Linked DNA regions of Xenopus tropicalis. The protein of the gene in region 3 purifies or fractionates together with the protein of the main gene of each other region. This does not show direct contact. Links are inferred from orthologs where the notes say so. Each region holds a gene or a part of one and is shown on either strand. Other genes may lie near its edges. The genes, in order: llgl1, pld2, dnaja2 and nudc.

What was found.
Region 1: the proteins of dnaja2 (region 3) and llgl1 purify together in Homo sapiens (co-immunoprecipitation; 3 studies listed by BioGRID and IntAct, with this or other methods). This does not show direct contact. The link is inferred for Xenopus tropicalis from reciprocal best matches to the Homo sapiens genes DNAJA2 and LLGL1.
Region 2: the proteins of dnaja2 (region 3) and pld2 purify together in Homo sapiens (affinity purification with mass spectrometry; 3 studies listed by BioGRID and IntAct, with this or other methods). This does not show direct contact. The link is inferred for Xenopus tropicalis from reciprocal best matches to the Homo sapiens genes DNAJA2 and PLD2.
Region 4: the proteins of dnaja2 (region 3) and nudc purify together in Homo sapiens (affinity purification with mass spectrometry; 4 studies listed by BioGRID and IntAct, with this or other methods). This does not show direct contact. The link is inferred for Xenopus tropicalis from reciprocal best matches to the Homo sapiens genes DNAJA2 and NUDC.

Annotation. Positions count from the first base shown.
Region 1 is NC_030685.2:16,024,700-16,030,376, forward strand, and holds the start of llgl1 (lethal(2) giant larvae protein homolog 1), read right to left. Parts: upstream 3,527-5,677; 5' UTR 3,382-3,526; coding exon 3,301-3,381; intron 1-3,300. UniProt on the Homo sapiens protein: Cortical cytoskeleton protein found in a complex involved in maintaining cell polarity and epithelial integrity. Involved in the regulation of mitotic spindle orientation, proliferation, differentiation and tissue organization of neuroepithelial cells.
Region 2 is NC_030679.2:148,025,628-148,030,479, forward strand, and holds the end of pld2 (phospholipase D2), read right to left. Parts: intron 2,963-4,852; coding exon 2,738-2,962; 3' UTR 1,234-2,737; downstream 1-1,233.
Region 3 is NC_030680.2:73,214,614-73,220,160, reverse strand, and holds the start of dnaja2 (dnaJ homolog subfamily A member 2), read left to right. Parts: upstream 1-2,322; 5' UTR 2,323-2,388; coding exon 2,389-2,466; intron 2,467-5,547. UniProt on the Homo sapiens protein: Co-chaperone of Hsc70. Stimulates ATP hydrolysis and the folding of unfolded proteins mediated by HSPA1A/B (in vitro).
Region 4 is NC_030678.2:77,784,865-77,790,250, forward strand, and holds the start of nudc (nuclear migration protein nudC), read left to right. Parts: upstream 1-1,569; 5' UTR 1,570-1,581; coding exon 1,582-1,662; intron 1,663-4,017; coding exon 4,018-4,095; intron 4,096-4,868; coding exon 4,869-5,063; intron 5,064-5,148; coding exon 5,149-5,205; intron 5,206-5,348; coding exon 5,349-5,386. Other genes in the region: gpatch3 (G patch domain-containing protein 3), read right to left, coding at 851-1,160. UniProt on the Homo sapiens protein: Plays a role in neurogenesis and neuronal migration. Necessary for correct formation of mitotic spindles and chromosome separation during mitosis. Necessary for cytokinesis and cell proliferation.

The DNA.
Region 1 (5,677 bases), on a different chromosome or scaffold from region 3:
TTCAATGGCTGCCCCCGTGGCTACACAGCAGCTGTGTTTATATAAACTATAGTAGGGTTCCTGTAGCAAACAGACCAGTTTTACCAGTGCAGAGCAGCTGTACATTATATTTTAATTACTTTTAAACACTTTCATTCTTGGCGTTAAGGTGTCCATACACGTGAAGATCCGCTCGCTTGGTGAGGTCGCCAAGCAAGCAGATCTTCACCCGATATTCCCACCTATGGGTGGGTGATACCGGGGAACATGTAGGCTAATTCGATCAAATTATAATGGCGGCAATGGGGCAGTCGGTTAGTCGGATTCAACTAAATCTTTTAACCTGCCCGATCGATATCTGCCCGATTTCAGGGCCGATTACGGTCGGGCATGCTCCTCCACGGGCCGATAAACTGCCGAATAGATCCAAAGGGAGCGATATCAGCAGCTACAATCGGCCAACTTTACTGTCCCTTTAAAATAATCTACTGTACTGTGCAGAAGATGCAAAGTCGTCCCCCCCCCCATACAGCCTGAAAGAGGGGGCAAATAAAAGCACCATACTGACCCAACTATAGCAATGGGTTATACAGGATAAGAGGGGGACAATAGGAGCCAGCCCAGTGAATAACAACACAGCAGGGGGGGTATCCATTCATGGAAGAGGGCACTGTGCAAGTCACTATTAGTAGAGGGTAATATGTGACGCATTAGTGCAAGCACACAATGCCTTTTGTTTTTCCCCAGTGAGTACAAAACACAACAGTGAATGAAGTTAGCATTAACCCCTATGGGGCTGCGGAAGCATTTGCAGCTCCATGAGACTCCTCCCCCCAATCAACCCTGCACGTATTTCACAACAACAACAAAAAAGTTTGTATTAACCCATAAATAAACTTGTCTGTAAATCAGCTGGTGCTTGCTACATTGTTTCAACAGTGGAGACCAGCAGTGCAGATACAGCTTTCAACTCCAATTATGTTCAAGCCCTTTTGGGGGCCACATAAGAGGCCCCTGAAATTACAATTGTTACCCATCACTGCTCTAAGTTTGGGTTGTATCAGGCTTACATATTAAGGTGGTTGGGGGTACGACACTAGGTATGAGGTATCTGGGGGTAACAAGGTGGAAAGAGCCCTAATGAGCATGGCCCTCACTGCCCCCATTATTAGTTGTTATACAAAGGTTATCTGTTTCATGTATCCACCCCGTCGGAATTAGTTGGTGCCTTGTGTAAATACTAGTTACACAATATCATCACAGACAGTTACTTATCAGTACTAACTGGATCTCCTGCACATACTTCAGCAATAGCGGAGGGGTCTCTTTTCCATTCCACTGCTAAAGGAGGGGGGAGTCACACACACAACATGGGGCTGATACAGAAGAGAGGAGCGCCTCGTACACATCAGAATCCGGCACTAAAGGGGGGGCCCTAACATAACAGCAGCCAATGCACATCTGATTGGGGTGTCACCATAGAAGGATTGGGAAAGTACAAACGCTCACAGTATTGGGGAGCTGCTCACAAGCAATTCCTGTACATGACTGGATTTTAGTTCTCAGCAACCAGCATGTAACACCCCCAGGAATTGGTAAGGGGGTGCCATACAGAGTAATAACTTCAGTAATTAGGGGCGCATAGGCTTCATACAGAGAGTAATATCCCCAGTAATTAGGGGCGCATAGGCTTCATACAGAGAGTAATATCCCCAGTAATTAGGGGCACATAGGCTTCATACAGAGAGTAATATCCCCAGTAATTAGGGGCGCATAGGCTTCATACAGAGAGTAATATCCCCAGTAATTAGGGGCGCATAGGCTTCATACAGAGAGTAATATCTCCAGTAATTAGGGGCACATAGGCTTCATACAGAGTAATATCCACAGTAATTAGGGGCACATAGGCTTCATACAGAGTAATATCCCCAGTAATTAGGGGCACATAGGCTAAATACAGAGAGTAATATCCCCAGTAATTAGGGGCACATAGGCTTCATACAGAGAGTAATATCCACAGTAATTGGGGAGGGGGTGCCATACACAAAGTAAAGTAATAACTCCAGTAATTAGGGGGTGCACAGGCTACAGACAGAGTAATATCCCCAGTAATTGGGAAGGGGGTGCCATACACAGAATAATATCCCCAATAATTAGGGGGTGCATAGGCAACATACAGAGAGTAATATCCCCAGTAATTAGGGGGTGCATAGGCAACATACAGAGTAATATTCCCAGTAACTGAAGATGGGGGTGCCATATAGAGTAATAACTCCAGTAATTAGGGGGTGTATAGGGGACATACAGAGTAATAACACCAGTAATTAGGGGGTGTATAGGGGACATACAGAGAGTAATACCTACAGTAATTAGGGGGTGTATAGGGGACATACAGAGAGTAATACCTACAGTAATTAGGGGGTGTATAGGGGACATACAGAGTAATAACACCAGTAATTAGGGGGTGTATAGGGGACATACAGAGTAATAACACCAGTAATTAGGGGGTGTATAGGGTACATACAGAGTAATAACACCAGTAATTAGGGGGTGTATAGGGGTACATACAGAGTAATAACACCAGTAATTAGGGGGTGTATAGGCTACATACAGAGTAATACCTACAGTAATTAGGGGGTGTATAGGGGACATACAGAGTAATACCTACAGTAATTAGGGGGTGTATAGGGGACATACAGAGTAATACCTACAGTAATTAGGGGGTGTATAGGGTACATACAGAGTAATACCTACAGTAATTAGGGGGTGTATAGGGGACATACAGAGTAATACCTACAGTAATTAGGGGGTGTATAGGGGACATACAGAGAGTAATACCTACAGTAATTAGGGGGTGTATAGGGGACATACAGAGTAATAACACCAGTAATTAGGGGGTGTATAGGGGACATACAGAGTAATACCTACAGTAATTAGGGGGTGTATAGGGTACATACAGAGTAATACCTACAGTAATTAGGGGGTGTATAGGGGTACATACAGAGTAATACCTACAGTAATTAGGGGGTGTATAGGGGACATACAGAGTAATACCTACAGTAATTAGGGGGTGTATAGGGTACATACAGAGTAATACCTACAGTAATTAGGGGGTGTATAGGGGACATACAGAGAGTAATATCCCCAGTAAATGGGGAGGGGGTTCCATACACAGAGGGGAAAACGGGGTCCCATAGACCTAGGGGAAGGGAGATACCATGAAGTACTACACGGGGGGGGGTTAATAATTGAGCCCCATACAGAGCCAGTGCAGCACAAAGCACACAGCCGCACTAGGGCTCCCCGCACAACAACACCCACCTTGTTGAAGGCAAACAGTTCCTGCTTTATCTTCTCCCTCTGCGGGTCATGGCCCTGCCGCCTGAACCTAAACTTCATCATGTTGCCGGCGGCCCGGAGCTGACGCAGCCGCTGCCCGTACAGCAGCAGCCTCCCCTCTCTGCAGCCACAGTTAGCGCACACACACACAGGCGGCTGGGGAACTTGATCCAGCCCGCCGCTTGATTGGCGTTCTTATCGACCAATCACAGAACTCTCCAGGGAGCGTCGCTTTGCCCCTTTTCTTTAAGAGCATCAGTACAGGCATCGCGCCTGCGCGGAATGGAGCAGGGGAGGCTGGGAGTTGTAGTTCTTTGTGGGAAAATTCTTACGTTTGTAGTTTTCTTTCAACTTTTTTAACTTTTGGATAATCAAGGCTGGATTTTGTGAATTTATCCGAATATCTTTTATTTACACTGTGCAATTGGTTCCTTTGCTTAGCTAGGCTTTCTTATCCCAATCGGTTTCTGTGAAAGCTCAGATTTATGAGGTGAATGATGTTAACAATGGGTTTCAGAAAGGACCATTGCGTCTCTGTACTCTGTTATAGAGGGCTTGAACCTCTACCATAAAGTGTGGAAGAAATGCTGCTTTGTTAAATACAGGAAGGTTTCCTTGTACAAGCACAATAGTTACCATATCTGTACCCCCTACTGTAAATGATAAGGATATTAGCAGTCACTGAGGGGTTCTGTGCCCATATAAAGGCACAAGGCTGCAGGCTGAGTTATACAGGGAACTCTGAGTATCACTCATGTATTATAAGGGATAATGTACCCCCTACTGTAAATGATAAGGATATTAGCAGTCACTGAGGGGTTCTGTGCCCATATAAAGGCACAAGGCTGCAGGCTGAGTTATACAGGGAACTCTGAGTATCACCCATGTATTATAAGGGATAAAGTACCCCCTACTGTAAATGATAAGGATATTAGCAGTCACTGAGGGGTTCTGTGCCCATATAAAGGCACAAGGCTGCAGGCTGAGTTATACAGGGAACTCTGAGTATCACTCATGTATTATAAGGGATAATGTACCCCCTACTGTAAATGATAAGGATATTAGCAGTCACTGAGGGGTTCTGTGCCCATATAAAGGCACAAGGCTGCAGGCTGAGTTATACAGGGAACTCCGAGTATCACTCATGTATTATAAGGGATAATGTACCCCCTACTGTAAATGATAAGGATATTAGCAGTCACTGAGGGGTTCTGTGCCCATATAAAGGCACAAGGCTGCAGGCTGAGTTATACAGGGAACTCTGAGTATCACTCATGTATTATATGGGATAATGTACCCCCTACTGTAAATGATAAGGATATTAGCAGTCACTGAGGGGTTCTGTGCCCATATAAAGGCACAAGGCTGCAGGCTGAGTTATACAGGGAACTCTGAGTATCACTCATGTATTATAAGGGATAATGTACCCCCTACTGTAAATGATAAGGATATTAGCAGTCACTGAGGGGTTCTGTGCCCATATAAAGGCACAAGGCTGCAGGCTGAGTTATACAGGGAACTCTGAGTATCACTCATATATTATAAGGGATAATGTACCCCCTACTGTAAATGATAAGGATATTAGCAGTCACTGAGGGGTTCTGTGCCCATATAAAGGCACAAGGCTGCAGGCTGAGTTATACAGGGAACTCTGAGTATCACTCATGTATTATAAGGGATAATGTACCCCCTACTGTAAATGATAAGGATATTAGAAGCTATTCTCCTAATGGGAGACAATTTTGTGGGATATTTGGGGAGTACCTGCAATCAGACTCCCTGCCCTGTTACTCAGCAGCGACCGTTAGACATTACATATTCCCCAGTGCCAGGTCACGATGGGAGACAGACAATAGTCTGGGCACTCAGATGACTTATGGTGGGAGCGGATTCCAGAAAAACAAGTATAACAAAGACAGAACTGATGGCTGAGAGGAGAGCGCAGAGTATCTGAGAGATAACTGACAAATAAATCACCTTGTCTCTGTAACTCATATTTTTAAGTTTCGTGCTCACAGACAGTTTAACTTGTGATTGGGGCCCAGTGTGGGGCCAACAGGGCCATAGGTTGGATAATGTATATACACTGGAGGTACCGAGGCCAAGTATATGGGCAGGGGGGAGCCAGGGACATAGTTATGAGGCAAATGAACACACCTGCCCTATAAACTGTCAGTACTGGAGCTGGCCCGGCACGCAGGTAAGTGACAATGAGCAGGGCAGGCTCTGGGCAGGTTAGTAATCTACTCTCTATTCCTCTTGGACTCTCTGGGGCTGCAAACTGGGGAGAATACCTGAACCTCCCTGAATGGAAAGATTTCTCTCCTTTCTGGGACTGGCTGCAGCTGCAGGATAGTAT
Region 2 (4,852 bases), on a different chromosome or scaffold from region 3:
GTTTTTCACCTTCCTCTGGATCAACTAGTAGTTAGGCAGATTATATATAGGCATTATGGTTGAGCTTGATGGACGTACGTCTTCTTTCAACATAACTTACTATGTTGACCTGACCCCCCCAATAAGACCTCCGTGCATACATCATTTGAGTAATGGTTTCAATATGGCACCTTAGGAGGTTGCATATCTGGTGGGTCAGAATCCAGACGTAGCCTTTTGCAGAAGCCAGTCTTCACTGTAGATCAGGGGTGGCCAAACCGTCAATCGCGGTCCATCAGTCGATCCCCCATGGACCTCTGGTGGACCACGTCTAAGCCTGCAAATGTGGAAGTGCGACGCTTTTATTGGGTATGTGTACATACGCGGGGAGGAGCCAAAGTCGATCGTCGCACGAAAAAGTCTGGCCACCCCTGCTGTAGATTATAAGCTATAATGGATGTCCCCATTTATACTTTATGTTGTGTAGGTTCGGTACTCAGCAAATCTTTTGTAGAGTATCCAGTACTCAAAAATGATGGACTAAATTGCCATTGGTTGGAGAAGGGTATCGAATCATTTCGAAAACAGTAGCATTTTGATATAAATTCTCTCATTTAAGGTTGTTTTGTTTGGTAGTTCTGCATGTTTTTTAGAACAAAATAATAAATTCTGAAAGTTGAATTTATCCTTATTCGGCCAAATCCAGGCTTTTTTTAAAGATTCAGTTTCGGCCGAATTGAATCTGAATTAGCATAAATTTGCATATGCTAATTAGCATCAGGAAAGGGTTAAATGGTCAGGTGAAAAAAAATTTCAACGCGCGTAACCCCTTCCGATCCTAATTACCGTATATTAATTAGAATTCGGTTCGGGATTCGCCCAAATCCATCGAGTGGGTTCGGCCAAACCCTAAAAAGTTGGTTCCTAGCTTCTATGGGCAGATATACAGTAAAAACATTCAAATCTGACTTTTTACTGCAATTTTTACTTTTTAAAATTGTGAATTCGAATTTCCGAAAAACTGAATATTCAAGATTTCTTAGGAGCAAAAACCTAAATAAAAAAAAATCGCAGTCTAAAAGCTGGTGAGTTCATGTAAAAGCCAATGGGAGACGTCTTTTCAAAATTCCGTTCGAGTTGTTTTTTTAGTGATCGAGATTTGCGCACATTTGGGATATTAGAGTTTTTTTCTCATTTGGAAAAATGTTAAAATTCGATTTTTTTGAATTTAGAAAAAAAAGGAAAACAACGACATAAAAAGAAGTACAAAGTTTATTGACTACAAAGGTTCCCCTGTTTGTTTTGTTTTCCCCCCGGAGAGAGTGGTGCAAACCCCGTGCAGTAGCAGCCGGAGCCCCTACCATGGAAGACAAAATGAACTCTATATACTTGCATAGTCCATAAATAAAATGATCATGCAGCGCTGAAACGAGCGGACAATGCTACGCGCATGGTTCTGCAATAGAACAGTATTAGTGTATAGCGCCTATCAACGAGTACAGGATGTGCCACGTACGTTGTGGGTGCAGAACAGCACACAATGCTTTGGACGAATCCGAGGCCCTGGTTGAACCAAATTCAACCCTAGTGATCACATGACTTCTTAAACGATTATGTGATTTTGCTTGTGTGTTGAATTCAGTATTCGGCTAAATCTTAAAATGGTTGAATTGTGCATATCTACAACTGGTATTAGTACAGGATACAGTCTATGTAGAGTTAATATTAGTAGAGCTGGGGTTAGTACGTTATATGGAGTGTGTAGAGCCGGGAATAATACAGGATAGTGTGCGTAGGACTGGGATTAGGAACAGATACTGTGTAGGACTGGGAGTAGCACAGGATACTGTGTGTAGGGCTGGGAGTAGCACAGGATACTGTGTGTAGGGCTGGGAGTAGCACAGGATACTGTGTGTAGGGCTGGGAGTAGCACAGGATACTGTGTGTAGGGCTGGGAGTAGCACAGGATACTGTGTGTAGGGCTGGCAGTAGCACAGGGTACTGTGTGTAGGGCTGGGAGTAGCACAAGATACTGTGAGTAGGACTGGGATTGGGACAGGATACTGTGAAAAGGACTGGGAGTAGCACAGGATACTGTATGTAGGACTGGGAGTAGCACAAGATACTGTGTGTAGGACTGGGAGTAGCACAAGATACTGTGAGTAGGACTGGGAGTAGCACAAGATACCGTGAGTAGGACTGGGATTAGGACAGGATATGGTGTATGGGACTGGGATTATGACAGGATACTGTGAGTAGGACTGGGATTAGGACAGGATACTGTAAGTAGGACTGGGATTAGGACAGGATACTGTGAGTAGGACTGGGATTAGGACCGGATACTTTAAGTAGGACTGGGATTAGGACAGGATACTGTGAGTAGGACTGGGATTGGGACAGGATACTGTGAGTAGGACTGGGATTAGGACAGGATACTGCATATGTAGAGCTGGAATTAGTGCAGAATAGTTTGCATGTTGCACTGTAATTAGCAAAGGATATTGTGTGAGTAAAACTGGGATTAATACAGGATACTGTGTGTGTGGGACTGGGATTAATACAGGGTGTGTATCAGGGATTAGTGGCAGACAGTAACGGACATGGTGGCAATCAGTGGAGTATCTGAGAGCTGTAAAGGCTAGTGCAATACTCTGTGCAGTTTAGCGAGTAACATGGGTGCTGCTCTTGTTACTAGTCCAGCACCCTAAGGTGAGTCTAAAGAACAAAGTGCATTAGTCCAAGGTGCCGTGCCCAGGGCTCACGTCCAAACCTGAGAGGATATCAGGCCCTCCTTGCTGCTTAGAGGGGGAAGGAGATTCTCCCCAGACAGGAACTGTAGGGGGCATTCCACCAGGTGGCCCCTAATGCCAGTTAGTTGCTCCCGAGCTAGGCCAGGGTTTAGCGCTGCCAGGTTCTTTACGGCAGTGTACTCCTGCAGGGTACGGTTACTGGTCACGGCGTCGGCGGGGAGGCACCGGAACATCTAGTTGAGGAAAAGCCACAAAAGGAAATTAGGCAGTTCCAGAAGAGGAGCTTGTCTTTATCTTATCATTTTACTGGCCCACAGCTTGCATAACGGGATCCTTATAGGCCAATGGAATAACTCTGAGGGAGCACACAGCTCATCGCAAAATGGCGGCTCAAGGGAAAAGATGCTAAAGGGCAATATTTACTGATATATATATTCCAGTTTGGGGAGATTCTTTAATAGGCCACTTAACATAATATAAACTCTCTGTTGGTTACGTATTCATTCTGGGGGTATAGTTTTCCTTTAAATTGCCTCAATCTCGTAATAAGAATAAGAGAGGAGACCACCCAAACCAAGAATGCTCAATGTTATGAAACTCAACGCAACTTCAAGCCTTCTTAGCCAAGACACAACCTCTACAGCTATAGCAACTGCAAGGTTGCCATCCAACAGCCCAAGAACCTGACAAATTCTATTGTATACATTACACATCTATAGCTACACACGTCGACTCACAACTAAACCACTTTTTAGACACCATACCAGTTCCAGTTATATTATCATTTTTGTATTGCCAAATTTCAAAAGAAGAGATTGTCACCACCACTGGTTCCTTACTATCGAACAAAACACCTGGCTCTTATTGCCTACCCTCACACTGGTATAAGACCCTAACCCAGTGATCCCCAACCAGTGGCTCTGGGGCAACATATTGCTCACCACCCCCTTTGATGTTGCTCCCAAAGTAGGTGCCCATTTTAAAATTTCTAGCTTGGGGGCAAATTTTGGAAGCCCAGAGACTCAGTTTTCCTCCAAGCAGAGCCTCTTGCAGGCCAGCAGCCCACATGGGGCTACCCAATAGCCAATCACAGCCCTTATTTGACTTTTCAAAATAACTTTTTTTCATGCTTGCGTGGCTCTCACCCACACTTTTTACATCTGAGTGTGGCTCACAAGTACAAAAGGTTGGGGATCCCTGCCCTAACCAAACATATCTCTCCGAAACCCTCCAGCAAACACAGGATACTCTGTTGTTACCAACATCTGTCTCCATACCGTTAATAAGTCGCTATCATCTCTCAAATTCTAGCCAGTAGACTGCAGCAATTGGTGCAAGATATAATTCACCCTGACCAATCTGGATTTATGTCTGGCTGCTCATCAAACATCTTTGCAGACTATTCATCAACCTACACTTGTTCCTCAGAAAAAAAAAGCTCTAGAAATGTGCTCTCAATTCTCTAATTCGTTGGAATGGAGTCACCTCTAGGAAGACCTAGTGAACGGAACTACTTCTCCGTTTTCCCTTACCAGAGGAATAAGACAGGGTTACCCTCTGTCCCTGTACCCTTTGCCAGCGCATTATACCCATTAGCCACACAAATAAGACACATTAAAGGTCTGACATATGGCACTGCACTTAAAAAAGTATCCTGATATCCCTGAAGGCTTGGAGAATATTAACAGCATCATATAAAATGGAGGTTTAGCATTTCCAAGTCTCCATAATCATTACTTGGCATCACAATTGTACTATATATATAATCCTGCTTCCACCCAAATCCCTACAATTAAAACGTACTTCATCGTGCCCTGAGGATGGAATCAGTTGAGAGCTTATCCAATGTCCCATATCATTAACTTGTGGATTTACCAAAACTTTGCTCTATTAATGCCCTATAGTGCATAGCAAGCCACACTTAGACTCATATTCATCCTCCATTTTCTTGCCCCATCAAATTTTCAAATACCTATATCTGCTACAATCTTGAACCCAAATACGCAATACTCACCAACAACCCCCACCCCACTACCACCATATATATGCCTTTAAAGCCCAGTTATTCACCCTAAATCCAGAAATCGAATACCATTCAATCTTAAATACTCCTAATACACCAA
Region 3 (5,547 bases):
CCATACACAAGCAGATCCGCTCGCTTGGCGATGTTGCCAAAAAAACAATACCAGACGATAAGGTGCTTCAAAACTAAAACTGAATAAAGCACACATTTACCACTGGAAACCATGCTTATGTCTATTAATATAGGTCTATAGCACCTACTAAATTTTGAATTTCACTTTCCCTGAGCCAACATTGTTTGCATTCTGAGTATCACATGCTGTCGAGGTTGCATTCCAAAAGTCATGAAATTTGCGGATCCGAACGTTCGTAAACGGCGCAAAAACCTTTCTGGCGTTTTAAACCTTCAGTGTATGATTTTTGACTCAAAGGCACTCGACAGATCCAACCTGGCCAAAATATAGTCACGATAACAAATCTTGAATGAATTCCGAAATGGTCGTAGTCTTTGTGAAAAATACAACTTTTCGTGGAAGTTAACGAAAACCACGAAAAAGTTGTGGAATTTAAACTTAATTATTGTGGGCATTACAAAAGTTCTATAACTTAGAAAAATTATGATTTTTTTCTCCAAAAAAAAAATTGTTGTTTAATGAATGGGCCCCTTGGTTTTAACAGCTCCTTTAAAGGGGAAGGAAAGGCTAAGTCACTTGGGGGTGCTAAAATGTTAAGCACCCCCAAGTGACTTGAATCGCTTACCTCGTACCCAGGGCTGGTGCCCCTGTTAGGAGAAAACCGCACCAGCCCGGGGCACCTGGGGCAATGCGCTTCCTCCTTCGTTTCGCTGCGACTCTGAGTCCGGCGCATGCGCAGTAGAGTGAAAAAGCCGACTTCTCTGTTAAAGTTCGGCTTTTCACTCTACTGCGCATGCGTGCTCAGCAAAGAAGGAAGGAGGAAGCGATCGCTGCTACCCCGGGCTGGTGCTGTTCTCTCCATACAGGGGCAGCAGCCCAGGGTAGAAGGTAAGTGATACAAGTCACTTGGGGGTGCCTAACATTTTGGCACCCCCAAGCGACTTAGCTTTTCCTTCTCGTTTAAGGGCGAAAAAGCTATTTAGTAGCAGCTACTTGTCATGGCTACAAAACGCCAGAAAATAACCTGCCATAGACAATACTGAGAATTGCCCCTGCTAAAACCTACGTAAAGACAATTATCAGTAAATTATTAGCATTGTCTATTTTTGTAGCAGTGGCAAGTAGCTCTGTGTGTCTTCATCCTAAAGTTTTTTGGAATCAGGAAGTACTGAGGGAAACTGGCTTCATAGTCTTATTTATCTTTGTGGTTAGTAAGTGAGAAGCTACAAACTGGTGAGCACTTTATGTGCAATACTGCACTACTAGCGAGATGCCACTAAGCAACACCTTTGGGTGGTTCGCAATCAGATGGCCCCGGGCAGGACAGGAGTTACAACATACAGATCATGCTTGATTTCAGAAAAGGTAGCAACCGTAGCTAAGGGTAAGTTCTAAGGTTGGCATACTGTGCTGTTTCTGTGATGCCCCTAGCAACATGAGTGGCTCACAGATCTTCCTGGATGTTAGGCAACTCTGGGGCAAAAACAACCCTTCAGCTCCATTACAATTACAGGCTGCTGCTACTAATAAAGGCAATAAACTGCACCACTGGTGTTAATGTGACCCCCTAGCAACCAACTGATCATTAGCTTTATATCAATTTGGTGCAAGTAAAGGTTAATGACTAATTACTGATTGGGTGCTGTAGCAGGTATGTGGTACACTGGTAAAATGGTAATAGCAAAACAATTTAAATACAACACAATGCTATATAATTTACACTCACGCCCAACCGCTAATTTAGGTTTAAGGGTGTAGACACTAAAAAATAATTTCTGGACATGTCTATAAAAAAATCTTACATAAAAAGTCCAATTAGGGACCGCCCCTGTACGTGACGTAGCAATGGAAAGATTGAGAATATTTTTATTTATATATTGGCAGTGGTTTTAGAACCACCACCGTAAAGTTATAAGGAACCAACTCCTGCTAACATTCACAGCCTTCACACTACCAGCCTGGGCTAAAGTACAAAAAATAAGAGAAAATTGCAACTAGTAAAAATTAACGTTACCATAGCAACACATTTATTGCGAGGCCTTTAGTCTTTCAGTTGCGCTTATTACGCTTTATACTGATACTGTAGCTGCCTTATACTATTCTGCGGCGTTACAAAGAAGCCTAATGTAAGTGGCAAGACCTACTTCCTAAGAAAGCTTTATCACTTCTCAGGTATGTTTCTAATACGCCATAGGTAAAGGGGCGGGTTAGTGACGACACGAGGCGGGGTCACGTGTGAGTGACGCTGCCGCACAGCGTTTCCGGTCTCTCTTTTTCAGTTCTTGTCCCCCACGGAGGGCTCTCAGCTTCTTCCGTCACCTCGTTATCTGTAGGCCCTCCGCCGCCGTTTTCTTCCAGCACCCCGCCATGTCCAACGTCGCGGACACAAAGCTGTACGACATCCTTGGGGTGGCCCCCGGTGCCAGCGAGAACGACTTAAAGAAGGTATGTGCGTGTGGCTGCTTGAAGAGCACACCGGCATTTTGAGGCCCTAGCGCTTTTGTGGAATAAACCCACAGAGGTGAGGGGTGGGAGGCAGGGGGAATTGGGATTGAAGAGATGGGGGTCAACGCAGTGTTGAAAAGGAGACCCCGTACTCGGCCCCTCCCCCATATTGTTATTTCTTAGCGGAGTCTTGTTACATGCAGGGCCAAGGCTGTATGTGATTAGCCTGTTGTAAATTGTAACCCGGACGCATTATCTGGCAGGAAGATAACATCCCCCATAATCAGTAGGGCAGCAGTGTCAAAAACGCACCTCTAAGATGAAATTTATCTAGGGATTTGGGAATTGCAGTTCAAGGACAACTGGGTGCCTAGACTTGCCGCCACCCTTAACTGTTTAACCATAATAGTATCCATCATCATCATCATCAAGCAGGTTCCATCTTGAAAACAGTTGCAGATTTTCTTGTTTTCTTTCTTGGATGTCCAGATTTCAGTGCAAAGATGTAGGCTCTTTTTATCTTTAGCAATGAATATCCCTCTCACTTTCTTAAGAATTCTACTCAAGGCATTGGACTGAAGTTATTATATGATAAAAAAAAATGAACTTTGCTAGATATTCATAACAGCCTTCTTGGGGCAGATATACCTGGGTTCCTCATAGTTTCAAAAAAACCACATTGGTTTTGGGTAGTACAGGTATGGGATCCCTTATCCGGAAACCCGATATCCAGAAAGCTCCGAATTAGGGAAAGCCTGTCTCCCATAGACTCCATTTTAATCAAATAATTCTGATTTTTAAAATTGATTTCCTTTTTCTCTGTAAAAATAAAACGGTGCTTTGTATTTGATCTCAACTAAGATATAATTACTCCTTACTGTATGTAAAATAATCATATTGGGTTTAATTAATGTTTTATTGATTTCTTAGTAGACTTAAGGTATGGAGATCCAAATTACGTAAAGACCCCTTATCCGGAATACCCTTGGTCCCGAGCATTCTGGATAATGGGTCCCATACCTGTAGTTTGGAAATCAGTGTTTGCCCACTGAGAGATGTCATAAACAAGTTACAGATCTGTTAGATCATGGTTATATTATATTACATTCTTTGTGGTAAATAATGTGTTAATTTAATTGCCATAGCACTGTTTTTACAGCAGTAAAGTTGGCCATACACTGGCAGATTTAAGATGCAAATTTGGGTCGTTCAGACCAATTCAGCAGTTCTGCCTTTGTGCCCACCCCCGACAGGCCTACCCAACCCAATATCTGGCCTAAAATTGGTCAGGTATTGAAAGGGCAGACATGATTTTCCCATCGGATCAGGGACCACATTGGCTCATTGATGCAATCCTCGATCCAACAGGTTCACTTCCCCTCGTTGTAATTCAATGGCCTTTAGATTACTCAATATCCCCCGCTTTAGGTAGGCATATAGGGGTTGTCCACCTTTACATTTTTTAGTATGTGGAACAGAGTGCAATTCTGAAACAATTTGCAATTAGTCTTCATTTTTTTTATACTATTTTTGTATTTTTAATTATGTAGTTTCATATTCAGCAGTGCCCAATTTTGGAATTTTAGCAACTATATGGTTGCTAGGGTCCAAATTACCCTTGCAGCCAGGCAGTGATTTGAATGAGAAACTGGAATATGAATAGGAGTGGGTCTGAATATGAAGATAAGCAATAAATAATTGTAAATTGTAGCCTCACAGCGCAATCGTTTATTGGCTTTTAGGGTCAGTGACCCCCTTTGTTAAAGAGTCAGAAAAGGAAAGCAAATAATACAAAAAGATAAAAAATGAGAACCAGTTTAAAAGTTACTAAGAACTGCCCATTCTATAACATACTAACCCCCATATGTAATTAAAGGCACTAAGCTTGCATATGTGCACTAACCCATAGCAACCAATAGGATGTTTGTTTTTAAACAGTTGACCAGTTAACGCTACCTGCCAATTGGTCGCAATGGGTTACTGCACCTGGGCCAACTTAGTGCCTTTTAACCCCATAAAAGTTAACTTAGAGTTTGCTTTTTGCCCCCCCAACTGTGGGACAACTAATGTATGAGTAATTATGAACCTAAGACCTCAAAGGCATTATTTGATCATAAGCAAATGTTGTTAATATTCTGGTAACTGTCAAATTTAACCTGGTTACATCCTTTAGTTATTTGTTGCATTTTTCTCCCATCTCCAAAAACTTGATCCCGTGGAACCGTGGCTCTTTTCTTTCTCCTTTTCTAATACTCTCAGATTAATGCTACCTGAAACTTGACTGTTATATATTCTGATATCCACTGTATAAAAATCAAAATTCAAATAAAAATTATTGAAAAGAAAAGTTAACTTAAAGTTAAACCACCCCTTTAAAGGGGTTGATAACAAGTTTAATGAATAAGGATTGTGCTGGGCATATGAAAAATTATTATTTATATAGCACCGTCAATTCGTGCAGCGCTTTACAGAATGAGGTACATAAGACAAAGCAGTTAACATTTACTTATAGAAAATTCACAAAAAATGGTTTACAGCAGAGATCCCCAACCTTTTATACCCGTAGTCCCCAATCTTTTATACCCGTGAACCACATTTAAATGGAATAAGTGTTGGAGAGCAACACAAGCATGGAAAATGTTCCTAGGTGTGCCAATAAGAACTATAATTGCCTACTCAATAGCCCCTATGTGGGCTGGCAGCCTATAGAAGGCTCTGTTTGGCATTATACTTGGTTTTTATGCAACCAAAACATGCCTCCAACCCAGGAATTCAAAATTAAGCACCTGTTTTGTGGCCCCTGGGAGCAACATCCAAGGGGTTGGGGGGGCAACATGTTTCTCACGAACCACTGGTTTACATTTGGATAAGGATTGGAGGCTACAGGGGGAGGGCCCTGCTCACAAGTAAAAGAAAATTGCATTAGCTGTGCATGGGTAATCCCTCCTGTATAATGAACTCATGCTTATATGTTAACCATAACTGTTACACCAAAGGGCTAAATAGGGTTTGTGCTCTTGTAATTAAATGATCTACCTCACAAGAACCAAACATCAGATAATATATCTTAGATGATTTAGC
Region 4 (5,386 bases), on a different chromosome or scaffold from region 3:
ATATCTGATGATTCAGTCCTGAAGGTCTGTGGAGAGTGGGAAAGAACTTTCGTGCGATCATTGAAATTGCTACGTGTATGGCCACCTTTAGAGATTAGTCGCCCACGGTAACGAAGATTTGTTGCGGGGCGACTAATCTCCCCGTATGTCACTGCCCTTAGGGTGAGATATGGATAAATAAAACTTACTTGCTATCTAAATATGCCTGGAACAGTGGCTGAATGCCTGATGCACTGATATTTTAATTTATCTAAAACATTTTTATGAGCAGGGCCCTGACCAAAGGTTATACCTCCAAGGAGTCTTGAACTGAAAAAAAAAATCTGACAACCTTTCACTCATGTGTGATGTGTTCTGCAGGAGCGCTGCCAGAACAGAGACGACTGGTTCATCCCATGGCAAAGCTGCCAGTCTACATTTAAAATAGCTTCTGCATGGGCAGATTCAAAAACTGTAATGCCAATGACAACATTTAAAAAATCGAAAAATCACCAAGAAATGACACATATGGAAGATAGTAAAACTTAAAGAGGGTACACAGTCCTACACCCACCACAAAATATACTCTAGGGGGCAGAATTAACAATGAAACACATTCATTTGTGCCAGAAAATAGTGAGTGAATTTTAGTCAAGTCTGGGAAAAAAAAAGACAAGTCTCCTTGTGGAAATATGACAATGTTTCACAAAAGTACTGTATGTTATTACAGTGATAATGGTTGACTTGAGAGCGAGTGAAAGCAAAAGTCAACACAATGGTATGAAAACAGACATTTCCAATCGTTCAATATCACCCAGTTGCTCAGGCCCCTAAATCAATCACGGGGGTACCCTAACTTGTTTATTTGTACCTTCCATCGGACCAACACGAACTTTCCGAACCAAGCATCTACCAGGGACTTGATTTCCTTCCTTATCCAGCCACGGTTTCATATTGTACATTTCCAGGAAACTGCGGGATCGCTCCGGTTTGACGGTAACCGGACAACAGCAAGTACCCGAATTCTCTCCCCGCCGCTCTGGTCGGTGCCTGAAATGAAAACACACAAAGCCATCGCTCTCTGTGAACTGACTGAAATAGTGGCGAAGCTGGGCAGAGCGGAACGAACGAGGAATTCCATACACAACAAAAACAACTGAAGCACCACTTGGATCCGTCATCTTGGCAGTGGGGTAGTTCCGGTCTTTACTTTCCACCATCTTGCTACAGGAAATTACAGTCCATAACGCCCCGCCATCTTAGAAGAGGAAAACTACACCTAGTTTACCGGCACGTCACCACGTGGAGTGGTTAAAAACTACAATGGACTTAGTATATAATCGGCAAAAAGTAACATATTACAATAAATTATAAAACGTGTCCCAACTCTGGTATTCGGTACATGTTGTTTGTTGCGCATGCTCGACTGGTGCCCTATCTCTAAAACGCCATATATTCCAGAACCATCGTGTAGCTTGATTAATGTTGCTATAGCAACTCTAGCAGTGTAGATTTCTTTTCGCTGATTGGTTATAAGCTCCTGGAAGGGGCGGGGTTAGCGTAAGACCCGGTAGCAGTGCAGCATCTGGCGAACTGAGCAGCATGGCGGCCTCCGGAGAGGATGAACGATTTGATGCAATGTTGTTGGCTATGGCCCAGCAACATGAAGGAGGAGTGCAAGAGGTGAGAAATTATTTAAGGCAATGGTAATCCCTGTGTTTTAATTTATATTTTTCAAAATCACAGTTGTTACAGAAGTCAAAATATGTTCAAGTCGCTTTAAATGCTGCAAAAGTTGGCCAAGGCATAACTATTGCGTGCGTTTTTTTTCTTTTAAATGTAGCTTTCCTGCACACCCTTCATGTTGTAGGGCTTAAATATTGCTGTTCCTTAGGGAAATATACCAGAAATTGGATTTGATCTTACTCACTGAAGAGGAAGTCTCAAAACTGTTGTCTTCCTCTGACCTTACTACCTGCCTGCTTGATCCCATTCCTACCAAACTTCTACGTAATGCCAACCCCTGTCTTATCAAAGCCTTAACTCATCTATTCAATCTCTCACTCTTTACTGGAATCTTTCCCTCCCAACTGAAACATGCACTTGTAACCCCTATTCTGAAAAAACCCTCCCTTGATCCCTTCAATCCTACTAACCTCCGACCTATCTCTCTGCTCCCATTCATCTCCAAACTGCTTGAGCGCCTAGTCTACAACCGACTGACGCTATTCCTCTCTGACAATAACCTCCTGGATCCCCTACAATCTGGTTTTAGATAACAACACTCCACCGAAACTGCTCTAACCCAACGAACAAATTACCTCCTATCGGCTAAAGCCAAAGAACACTACTCGCTACTAATACTTCTCGATCTCTCTGCTGCTTTTGACACTGTGGATCACCCTCTTCTCCTCCAGACTCTCCGCTCTCTTGGCCTTCGTGACACAGCCTTATCCTGGTTTTCATCTTATCTCTCAGATCGATCCTTCAGTGTCTCTTACAATGGGGAATCATCTTCTCCCTTGCCTCTTTCTGTCGGGGTTCCCCAAGGCTCTGTCCTGGGCCCCTTACTATTTTCTCTCTATACCTCCTCACTTGGCAAATTAATCAATTCTTGTGGCTTTCAGTACCACCTCTCTTTCCTCTCCTGATCTCAACCCAGAGCTTCTAACTCGCGTCTCTTCCTGCCTGTCCGCTTGGATGTCCAAACATTACCTTAAATTAAACCTCTCTAAGACTGAATTGGTTCTCTTTCCCCCATCCAACGCCCACATTGTTCCCGAGGTATCTGTAACGGTTAACAATTCTACCATCACCCCATCTTCCCAGGCCCGGTGCCTTGGGGTTATCCTTGATTCTGCCCTCTCCTTCACTCCTCATATCCAATCACTTACCAAATCATGTCACTTTCACCTAAGAAATATTTCCAAAATACGATCATTTATCACCCAAGATGCTGCCAAAATTCTTATTCACTCTCTTATAATATCTCGCCTGGACTACTGTAACTCCCTGTTAATTGGCCTTCCCCTCCAAAGACTGTCCCCACTCCAGTCCATAATGAATACTGCTGCCAGGCTAATACACCTCTCCAATCGCTCCTTCTCTGCCATGCCAATCCCTGCACTTTCCCACTTTTTTTTTGCTCCTACAATAGAACTGCTGACCATTGCAATGAGATTCTACCAGGTTTTCCAGCCTCTTCCTTGGCCCATTTACAGAAAATAATCTCCTTTGATGTGCAGCGCAGTTGCTGATTCTGCTCCTGCCACTAACACGCTCTGCACTTACCTCCTTGGTGTCTGAGAGGGTCAATGGGGTGCTACATCGCTAGTGCAGAGATCGCTATTGTTCTCTCTGCATTAGAAAAAACAAATTTCCCTTTTAATAAACAAGATATTTGGCTGTTAAACATAATAGAGGCTGCTTTTTTAGTGTAAATCTTTCGCTTTAGAAGGAATGTAGCAACTTTAGAAAGATACAGGATATCCCTGACATAGGCCCTGTTATTTGTTGTTCATGTTGTGTTTCACCAACATCTGGGTATTTTTGTATGCTGTATATAGTTCATGGCTGAGTATGGTGTGCAAACTCATATATTCAATGGCACGCAAGTTAAGGCCCCCATACACAGGCCGATAGAAGCTGCCGATATCGGTCCCTTGGACAGACTCTGCAGCTTATCTGCCTGTGTAGGGGCAGAAACGAGCGGGCTGGCCGACCGATATCTGGCCTGAAATTGGGCAGATATCGACCGGCCGGGTTAGAAAATCCAGTCAGATCGGGGACCGCATCGGCTCGTTGATGCGGTCCCCGAACCGACTGCCCCATTGCCGCCTACATAATTATTATTATTATTTTTTTTTAACTTCAAGCTCCCCAATATCGCCCACCCGTGGGGATATCGGGGGAAGATCCGCTCGCTTGGCGATCTCGCCAAGCGAGCGGATCTTACCGTGTATGGGGACCTTTAGATTTTCAAATCATCTTCCTTTATTGCAGATCTAATTTCTTTGTTTTTTTTCTCTCCCTCTAAAGTTGGTAAACACATTCTTCAGTTTTCTGAGGCGCAAGACTGACTTCTTTGTTGGAGGAGAAAATGCTGCAGCTGAAAAGGTGAGAAAGAGCTGAACAGTTGTTCACCAAATTTTTGCAGAAATGCATTATATTCGTGTTGAAAGCAAGGTTACAAAAACAGATGAAGCCAGCTAATATGCTCTTTCAATATACAGTATGTTGGCTAACTCATCAATACACAGCATGTTAACTAGTTCAGTCTGTTCTTCATTAGGTTTCTTATCTGGCCTCCACATCTATGATTACATGTATACTCCTTGTTGACCTATAATTTTTTTCCAGATACTCAAGTTTGATACATTGTCATTTGTTTGATATACGATGTGACTAGTTAGTTGTTCCCTGGAGAATGTTTTTCTATGTATTCTTTTTTTTTTTTTTTTTCTAATTTCTGTTATAATCAGTTTGTTAGAACAGTTTCTCCACAGGGGGCAAACCTACATTATGGTTTGTTGATAAATGTGGCAGCAGATTCTCAGCAACACAATAATGTTGTGAGAAAAGCTGTTGATAAACAGGCTGATGCGAGTTGCCTACTCCAAATTGAGCTGAAAGCCTGTTGGTCTATGTATGGGCCATAACCATGGCCGGCCTGTTGTCTATTGGGCAGACTAGAAAATCCAAGGACAGCATTGGGCTTTTAATTTGATTGTTGTCACTGTGGGACAGTTGAATGGATAAACCCAACTGACCAAGTGGTCAGTTTCAGCAAAGGGTTTCCAAAATTTGTTTTTTCTCTACTTACATGTTTCTTTCCCTTTAATGCAGAGATATACTGTGTGAATGTACAAATTATTTTTTTTTTTCTACAGCTCATCACCCAGGCCTTCAACCACCACAATAAACTAGCTTTAGCAGCTCAGAAACAGAAGGATGCTGATCGTCTGGAGAGAGAGGCTGTGAGGCAAGAACGGGAAGCCAAGAAAAAAGAAACGGAAGCTGGAGAGTCCAGAATCACAGAGCTCACTGATGAGGAAGCAGAGAGACTACAAAAAGAAATTGATAAGGTTAAACACTAGAAAATGAGAAGCCATCACTTATTATATTTCCAGCAGTGCAAATATTTTTAAACATTTTTTTTTTGATTTGCAGAACAAAGAGAAAGAGAAGGCAACTAGAGAGACAGAGGAGAAACCAGAGCCTGAGAAGGTAAGGTTATAAACAACAACAAATAACTGTTAGGAGAAACACTGATGTGCTCTTGGAAAAATATGATCAATGTAAAGTGATGTCTCAGCAATAGTGAAGGAGGAGAATAATAGGCTGTGATTGCTGGTTTTTGTATTCTGTAGGATGGAGAGGAAGAAAAGGAGGAGGAGGAAGAAGATGA